Linked DNA regions of Caenorhabditis elegans. The protein of the gene in region 1 interacts with the protein of each later gene in a pairwise test. Each region holds a gene or a part of one and is shown on either strand. Other genes may lie near its edges.

Region 1 (3,756 bases):
AACAAATAAATCCATACAAATAAAACAACTAAAATTCACGTTTTTGTGGTTAATTGGAATTAAAAAAATTACAACATTTTGGGGAGAACGAAACCCATAAGTACCAAAGTTTCTACTGTTATAAACATTATTCAACATTTTTATATGTTTTAGTAGTAAAAACTTCAAATCGTTCCTTTTCAGCAGATTTGGAGCTTTGTGTTGGAGTTTTTGGTGTTTGACCTTTAGAATATTTATTACAGAGTTTTAATAAATCAAATTGTCTATTGTATGTAGTTTTTTTTTTGGTTTTACATTTACTGATTATTAGATTAAAATTAAATAATTCAATTTTGAAAATTCAGAAAAATAGTTTTGACATCCTCTACTACCTTTTTTTCTCATTTTATCTTTAAAAAATTAATTCAGGGCGATCATTCCCGCCAAATACGGACATGAATCCCATTTGGTTACCAAAAAAGTGCGGCGGCTGTCGTTGAAAATAAAAAAATCCAAAAAGTGGGAAAACGACATCTTCTGTTCACTCATGCGTACAGAATCTCCAAAAACATTTCGCCGTATTCATTTTTGGCGTGATGTACCACATATGACTTGGTCCAGATAAAGGTACTGGTGTAAATTTGTCTGTTGTGTAATCGGCATTTGACGCTAGCTTCTTGCCCAAGTTTGGCAAAAAATTTCAACTTGAATCACAACACGATAAGCTTGGTTTGGACTGTGTTTAAGTTTACGCCAAGTTTGATCCAAATAACAGTTTTTAAATAATATTTTTTTTAATTTTTGGGAAAAACGCAGGTAACGCCAAATGCCAAGTATAATTATTTTTAGACAACCGTCTAAAATTTGGAAAATATATTTTTAATACAAAAAATCTTACTCCGAGATTGATAAATGTGGAAATTTTGTAAACTACGATAAAAAATGCAAATTATTCTTAGTGTGTCAATAAAATTTTTCTATTTACTTTTCACAGTCCCAGTACTTGTTTCCTGCCAGATTTTCTCAAATAGGACTGACACCTGAAGCGGAATAATTTGCTATTTGACTTCCGAGCCCTCGAATTCTGGCGGGCGGTCCAACAAGAAGAACCCTCAATATTCCGTTAGTTATTTGTCGTCTCTGAAGACTTTATTGTCGGATGCAGCGATACCGTAGTCCGAAGAAAAGAATAGAAGAAACTGACAATGAATGGAGAAGTGGAGTAAAGCCAGCTACAAGCAGGGCAGAAAATATAAATGAATAAGTAAAGAAATCAGTTACAGAAAAGTGACATTAAATTTTTTCCACGTATCAAATTATGAAAATTATTCATAGCGAGGTTTTTTAAATGTTTAATTTGCAGTTACACTGCTTGAATCCGAATATCGATGCGGTTGCATTAATATTTATGTATAAGGAATCATCAAAAATAAAAGCAGTAGCTGATTAAAACTTATTTTTAAATCAGATATGTGGTGCATCTCCTTTTCAGAAACCAAGTAGTTTTGTTCGATCTGTTAAATTCTGTTAATCACAATGGTTCAGAATGTCTGTAAACATGCTTAGAAAACTAATGAGGTCGGTGGAGCAGAAAGTCTGTGAAAACTTCTAATTGGAATCAGGTGCTGGCAGTGAAATCACAAAATATCTTGGTCTGTACACCGGGCAAGAGCATGCCTACACCCCGCGAGTTTGGCATGGCTAATCCCTTGTTTGACAGATGTTCAGGGGGAAGGAGCTACCACTGAATAGTTTCCACGTGAGTAGAAATTGATTCATGTTCATAACATTGATGGCAATGTATTCGAGAAACAATGCCCATCTGCCACAAGTTGCAAAAGGTAGATTGTGAATAAAGCTGCGCATAATCCATAGAGAATATGAATGAAAACTCCGCCCATTTCAAAGAAGACGATTGGCCCGAGAATAGAAGCAAAAAGTCAGCGGTGTCCTAGGTGAGACAACGGAGAAAACGTGTCCGGGCGCGGCTCTTTTCAATTGTGGACCGAGAGGGAGAGACGTCGACGTCTTCTTTTTATGTCACACTATATCGTTGAAATAGTTTCGCGCTTTTTTGTTCTGTCCCCCGAAAGTTTGTTGGACAGTTAGATACTGAGGATCTCTTATTCTAACACTTCCAATATCTACACTTACACTAAATTTTACGCTACACAACACCAAAATCCGCGAGTATTCAAATAGTGACGGTCGAGTTGACAAAAGTGAACGTGGTGAGTTAAACTCTTGTTGGGTAATGAGTTAGCAGAAAATCAATAAGATGGCGAGCACTTTCAGATGGGCGTGCTAATGAGGTGGGCATGGGCTAGAAGTAAGAACTACCCTTCTTCGTCGGCATATATTTTCTCATTTCAGTCTGTTGCCTTTCTGCTGATTATCATTAGACTTTCTTGTTGAGTAGATAAATTTTGATGCCTCATTGACAATCATAAATAATAGAGAAACAATCGATATTGTCATAATGATAACAAACTAAGTAGGAATAATGTAGAACTGGTTATATTTTGAATAATTTCAAAACTCTTTGGTCTTTAGGCTAAATATAGAAACCGAGTCCTTCTCGAAACATTGATGTCGTGGGCTGCTATCATGTGTCTCCTATGACTTCAAACTTTTCTGAAATTACGTTACCTAATTTTTTTGAGCTTTCATGTTGTATCACAAAAATTTTTCATTCTGCTATAATTTTTCACAGATAATTGTTTGGTTCTAAATTCTGGGCAAAGTTTCAGAATATATTTTGAACTTTAGAACTGAATTCTTGAGCATTTCTGATTTAAAAAATCTTTTTGAACTTTTGCTACAACTTCTTTTCTCTACCATAAAATGTTTTCAATCTTGTTCGATGCTTCTACAAAAACTCCAACATCAGGAGCCATGCTTTCTCCTCCCACTTATGTTATTCATTGTGTATGTACATCCGCATGTGTCCATCATTGACTCCAAATTCCATTAGCCATCTACCGTATCTGGATTTCCGGTGTGTGACGCCGACTCCATGGCCAACACAGAATCATCGTAATTCTCCCCGCAATCTACATATCGCTACTCCAATTTTCGAATTTTGCCCCGTGTTGCAATTCCAATGCATTCAATCAAATTTAAAAGTTTTGATGATTTGTCTACTCATTTTTCCCACCCGTTCCGTTTTCTCCATGTTCAACATTTTTGTCGCCACCACCATCACTGAGAGGGGTTTTTGTAATTGGCTTGAATTGACACCCATTAACCGGCACACCCGCTGTTTGGAAGATGTCATAACGAAAACGTCGTTTGATGGAGGTCTTTGTCCGCGCCTTGTTTCCCTGTCCCTATAGTTGAAGGTGTTCGCCATCAGGCACCACTACTTTTTTGGCGCCCCTCTCTTTTTCTCTCTCGTCAGTGTCAAACGAGTAGTTGAAAATTGTGCTATTCCAAATTACATGGAGCCCCACTCCTCTGACCCGAAAGCCTTTCCATCAAATTTCGTTTTAGTAGATCTTTTTAACTTGTCATTATGCTCCTTTGGATAAACGATTTGGCTCACAGGCAAAGCATTTTCAACTGTGGGGACATTCCGGAAACACTTAGCCAATTGATAATGACAGTCCATCGATGAGTTATAAGATATGTTATCAGATGTACAAATCTGACACCCATACAACAGTCCTCACCTCGCTCTCGTCGTCATTCAGTTGCCAAAATCGTCATGCCTACTTCCAATTATGCAACTTTATCTTACGGGAAAATCTAATAACTTTTGCATTTCAGCTATGGCAC
Region 2 (3,756 bases), on another chromosome or scaffold:
CCGTATTTCTTCTATTAATATGGCTGCAATACTATTTTTCGATGGTCTTCCCGCTTGCAATACTAATAGGGAGTGCAAGACTATTAGGGAGTGCAATACTAATTTTCAGAACATTTTTCTGACTTTGAGCTTACTATTTTTTTCTGAAAAAAACTCGTATCTTATGTAAAAATTCAGAAAATTTGATTGCAATTGCAACAAAAAGGTACAATAACTTCAATTCCATAGAAATTTTACCAAAAATTTGTTGCAAAGTAGGCAAAAAATGTTGTAAAAATCTCAAAATTCAAAGGTGCAATACTAATAGGGAGTGCAAGTCTAATAGGGAGGCCATATTAATAGAAGAAATACGGTATTCTGAATTCCGCTCGTTAGTATCTTTTTATTGAAAGTTTTCAAAAGAGATTTATAATTTTCAAATAAAAATTCTAAGAATTTTACAATTCTTTCAAGTTATCAAGTTTTTGGATGTAGAACTACGTTTGCACTATATTTTCCAGAGATTCATACCGAAAAAGTTCTAAAAGTCAATTTCCGTTAGGAAACCTCACCTCAATTTCCTCCCACCCATTATTATTCAAGATGAGCACTCCCACCCGTGAGCCACCACAAAAACACATTATTTGGCAGTTTCTAATCCCCTACAAATCCCCCTTGAAAATGATTTTGATCTGATTTTGAGCTTTTCGCAGAAATAATTGGAAATGTTTGAGAAAATGGATGGAAACTGCATATTATCAGTGATATTTAGTTGTTAATTCATGCTTATTTAGTTGCCTGTTTCATAGAAAATTGGTGATAAAGTTGTCATACGGTAGGAAGTAGGACATGATTGGAAAAACTAGATTACTGTAATTCGAAGAGTCATTTTAAATTTAATTTTTTGAACTCTATAAGCTACTAATTTTGCCTAGGTTCAACAAATTTTGGGTCCCACCGCGAAGACTGGAGTTCAGTTTGAAATGTTAATTTTCATGTTTCAATGCACTTTTAAGCTATAATAAACGAGAGATTCCGTTACAAGACCCACAGTTGTAAAATTGACGTTATGTAACTTACAATTAGACGAGAAGATACATAAAAGTGGAAATACCGAATTTTTTTTTGAATTACTCGCAATAGAATTTTTATTTTTATTGCAAGAATACGCAAGAAACACCCGCAAATTGAATTATAACGGGCTTTAACTTCCTCCCTTCTTGCTTCCTCCACGTTTTCTTTGAACCTCTGCTTCACCTCAGATTTCTTTGTTTACATTTATTTGGTATCTCTTATCTCTGCATAGATAAAAGCTTGGAAATTCTTTTAATTTTTAAATACCTTCTTCTTTTTCTTATTCGAACTATTATACCTTTTCAAAAAATAGGCCTATTATGTATTTATATTCATTTTTATGTTTTTTATTGCGAAATTTCGTCTCGTTTTTTGGTTCTCAAAAGGCGGGGCTTAGCATTGAATGGGGGAGAAGGACATTCGTGGGCGGAGACTCTAAAGCAGCTGAAGCTTACCCACTGCTCCATTTTCATGCAAACTCTGCTCTTTTTTGGTAGTACTACTTCTTGAATCCTATTTTTTTAAATTCTCATCCTCTGCTTTTTCTGTGCTTCCAACAAAAACCAAATTTTCAGGTGTAAATGTCAACCGAAAACGACGTTTCAGAAGAGAATAATTCAGAGCTTGACGATGTTGAAGACGCAAAACAAGATGATCGGCGACGATCGACTACGGTAATAATGACAATGAATGTGACGACGGTGCCAGCTACAGAAAGTGAGGGAGTTCGGAGGAATGGAAGTGTTCGAAGACGACTTTCAAAACAGAATGCAACAATTGAAGAGGTGAGCAATTTCAAGGGAAGGTGGGAAATTGTCCCGCGAAGTGTCGGACTTCGAATATGGGTGCCGTTGCTGATGTAGTTCTTGTCCCGTATGGTGTATGCTGCTAAGGTACACAACTTCTTGAAGCCGGCTAAAAGTTATCACTAACCCGTAAAATGTCGGCTGCTTGGAGAATACATTATTTTATTATCATATTGATCAGCTCACTCTCTTGTGAATCATCAGAGGATGATCCGATTTTGTGTCATAGGCCGCGCTGAAAACTGAAATAGTTCCTGTTAGGAAGTCTGCTGAAATTCATATTTTTCACCCAATTTCGAAGAATGTTTGTAAGTTTATAGACAAAATCTGGTCGTTTTCGACTGAAATTTTTTAATTTTTAGCCAATATCTCTCCTGTCAATTTCTGATAGCCCATCAGAAAACTCGGATACTACGGTCCCATGCATAGAAGAGCATCCAGAAGAAGGCAAAGAAGAGGAGAAGCCAGCAGAAAGCAGTGACGTGTCAAAACTCCGCCCACCGGGTCTCGCACAGAATAAACTGTGGTCCACATCGAAATCGTTAAGCAGAGAGTCCACAGGAACCGAGTACTCGGACAGAAGTGGCATTGATCTAAGGAATTTTGTGGATCGCACGTTACACAAGAGTGAAGAAGATCGGAAGCAGCTTCTGGAGTTCGAAAAACAACTCAAAGAACTTATTTTAGATGATAGGTTCGTTTTTGTTAAAATTTCAGTCTGAAATTGATAATTTTCAGCACACAATCGAAAAGATTCGAGCTTCCATCATCCTATCACCGAATGCTTCTTCACAGGTGTGCCGCGTGGTTTGGTCTTGATCATAATGTTACGAATAAGCAGACCGATATTGTTGTGAACAAGTCAGAGAAAACCAAAATGTGAGTTGATTAATTTTCGGATGTATGTATCATGAAAATCATAATATTTTGTCTGTTTTAGTTTAGCCCCTTTATTTGGTCTTGTCAGATTTTAACTAGAAAAGTAACAAATTTCCAGTCCTGATGACAACTTCACCGACTACATCCGGCACGATAATTACGTAGAAGACCGACTGAAACGACAAAACACTTGCGGATCCCGCAAGGAACTTCACCATATGGAATCATTCGGTGATCATTCGACGAGTCAATATGGAAGTCAAGCAAGTCTTAATCATGATCTACTCATGATGCGAAGGGCACAATCATTTGACGTGGCAGCAGTCACTGGACCATCAGTTATTCAACCTCAATCTCCACATCATGTTCGAGGTCTTCCGATGCGACAACTTTCACTCAACTGCCCACAACAATCAATGGTTACTGCACCAATGAGTGGACCACAGGGACATCAATGGGCACCGCAAAGATCATTTGATTGCTCCAATAATAGTTATTTGTGCACTGGAAAACATCCAATGATGAGGGTGAGTATCAGAGTTCGCCTGAAAAATCGATTTTTCAAAAAAGAAACAGCGTCGAGTTTTACTTTCTCACGATCGCTAAGCTACAAGATTTTGAATCAATATATGATTGAGATTGAACGTGTGGCCGTCAATATCTGTGAGCTTCAGCCATGTCGATTTACGAGTATCTCTCATACATTTCATAAGTTTCCATAAGTTTCCGAGTTTCGAAAAATTTAAGATCACATGCCGTGGGCGCAAAAAACGCTTCTCAAACTCTAACCTCTAAATTTTCCAGAAAGCAGAGAGCTTCGGAGGAATGGCAAACGGAATATCACATGGCTGTTACGAGCAAAGTGTGCCAGTAGTTTGTGGAACACCTCCATCAGTGATGGTTCATCACCACCACCACCACGCTCACATCCAACAACCTCCAACCTCCAACTATACAGGCTATCAGGTATTCGAAGAAATGTCAATGCCATCATCAAACTACCAAGAGCCTGGAATGT

Evidence for each region.
Region 2: the proteins of vab-3 (region 1) and ZK121.2 interact in a two-hybrid assay, tested with the Caenorhabditis elegans proteins (2 studies listed by BioGRID).

Annotation. Positions count from the first base shown.
Region 1 is NC_003284.9:10,497,896-10,501,651, forward strand, and holds the start of vab-3 (Paired box protein 6 homolog), read left to right. Parts: upstream 1-1,994; 5' UTR 1,995-2,210; intron 2,211-2,342; exon of another isoform or gene 2,343-2,398; intron 2,399-3,192; exon of another isoform or gene 3,193-3,299; intron 3,300-3,756.
Region 2 is NC_003281.10:5,340,056-5,343,811, forward strand, and holds the start of ZK121.2 (R3H domain-containing protein), read left to right. Parts: upstream 1-1,626; 5' UTR 1,627-1,634; coding exon 1,635-1,838; intron 1,839-2,221; coding exon 2,222-2,553; intron 2,554-2,597; coding exon 2,598-2,738; intron 2,739-2,856; coding exon 2,857-3,265; intron 3,266-3,542; coding exon 3,543-3,756.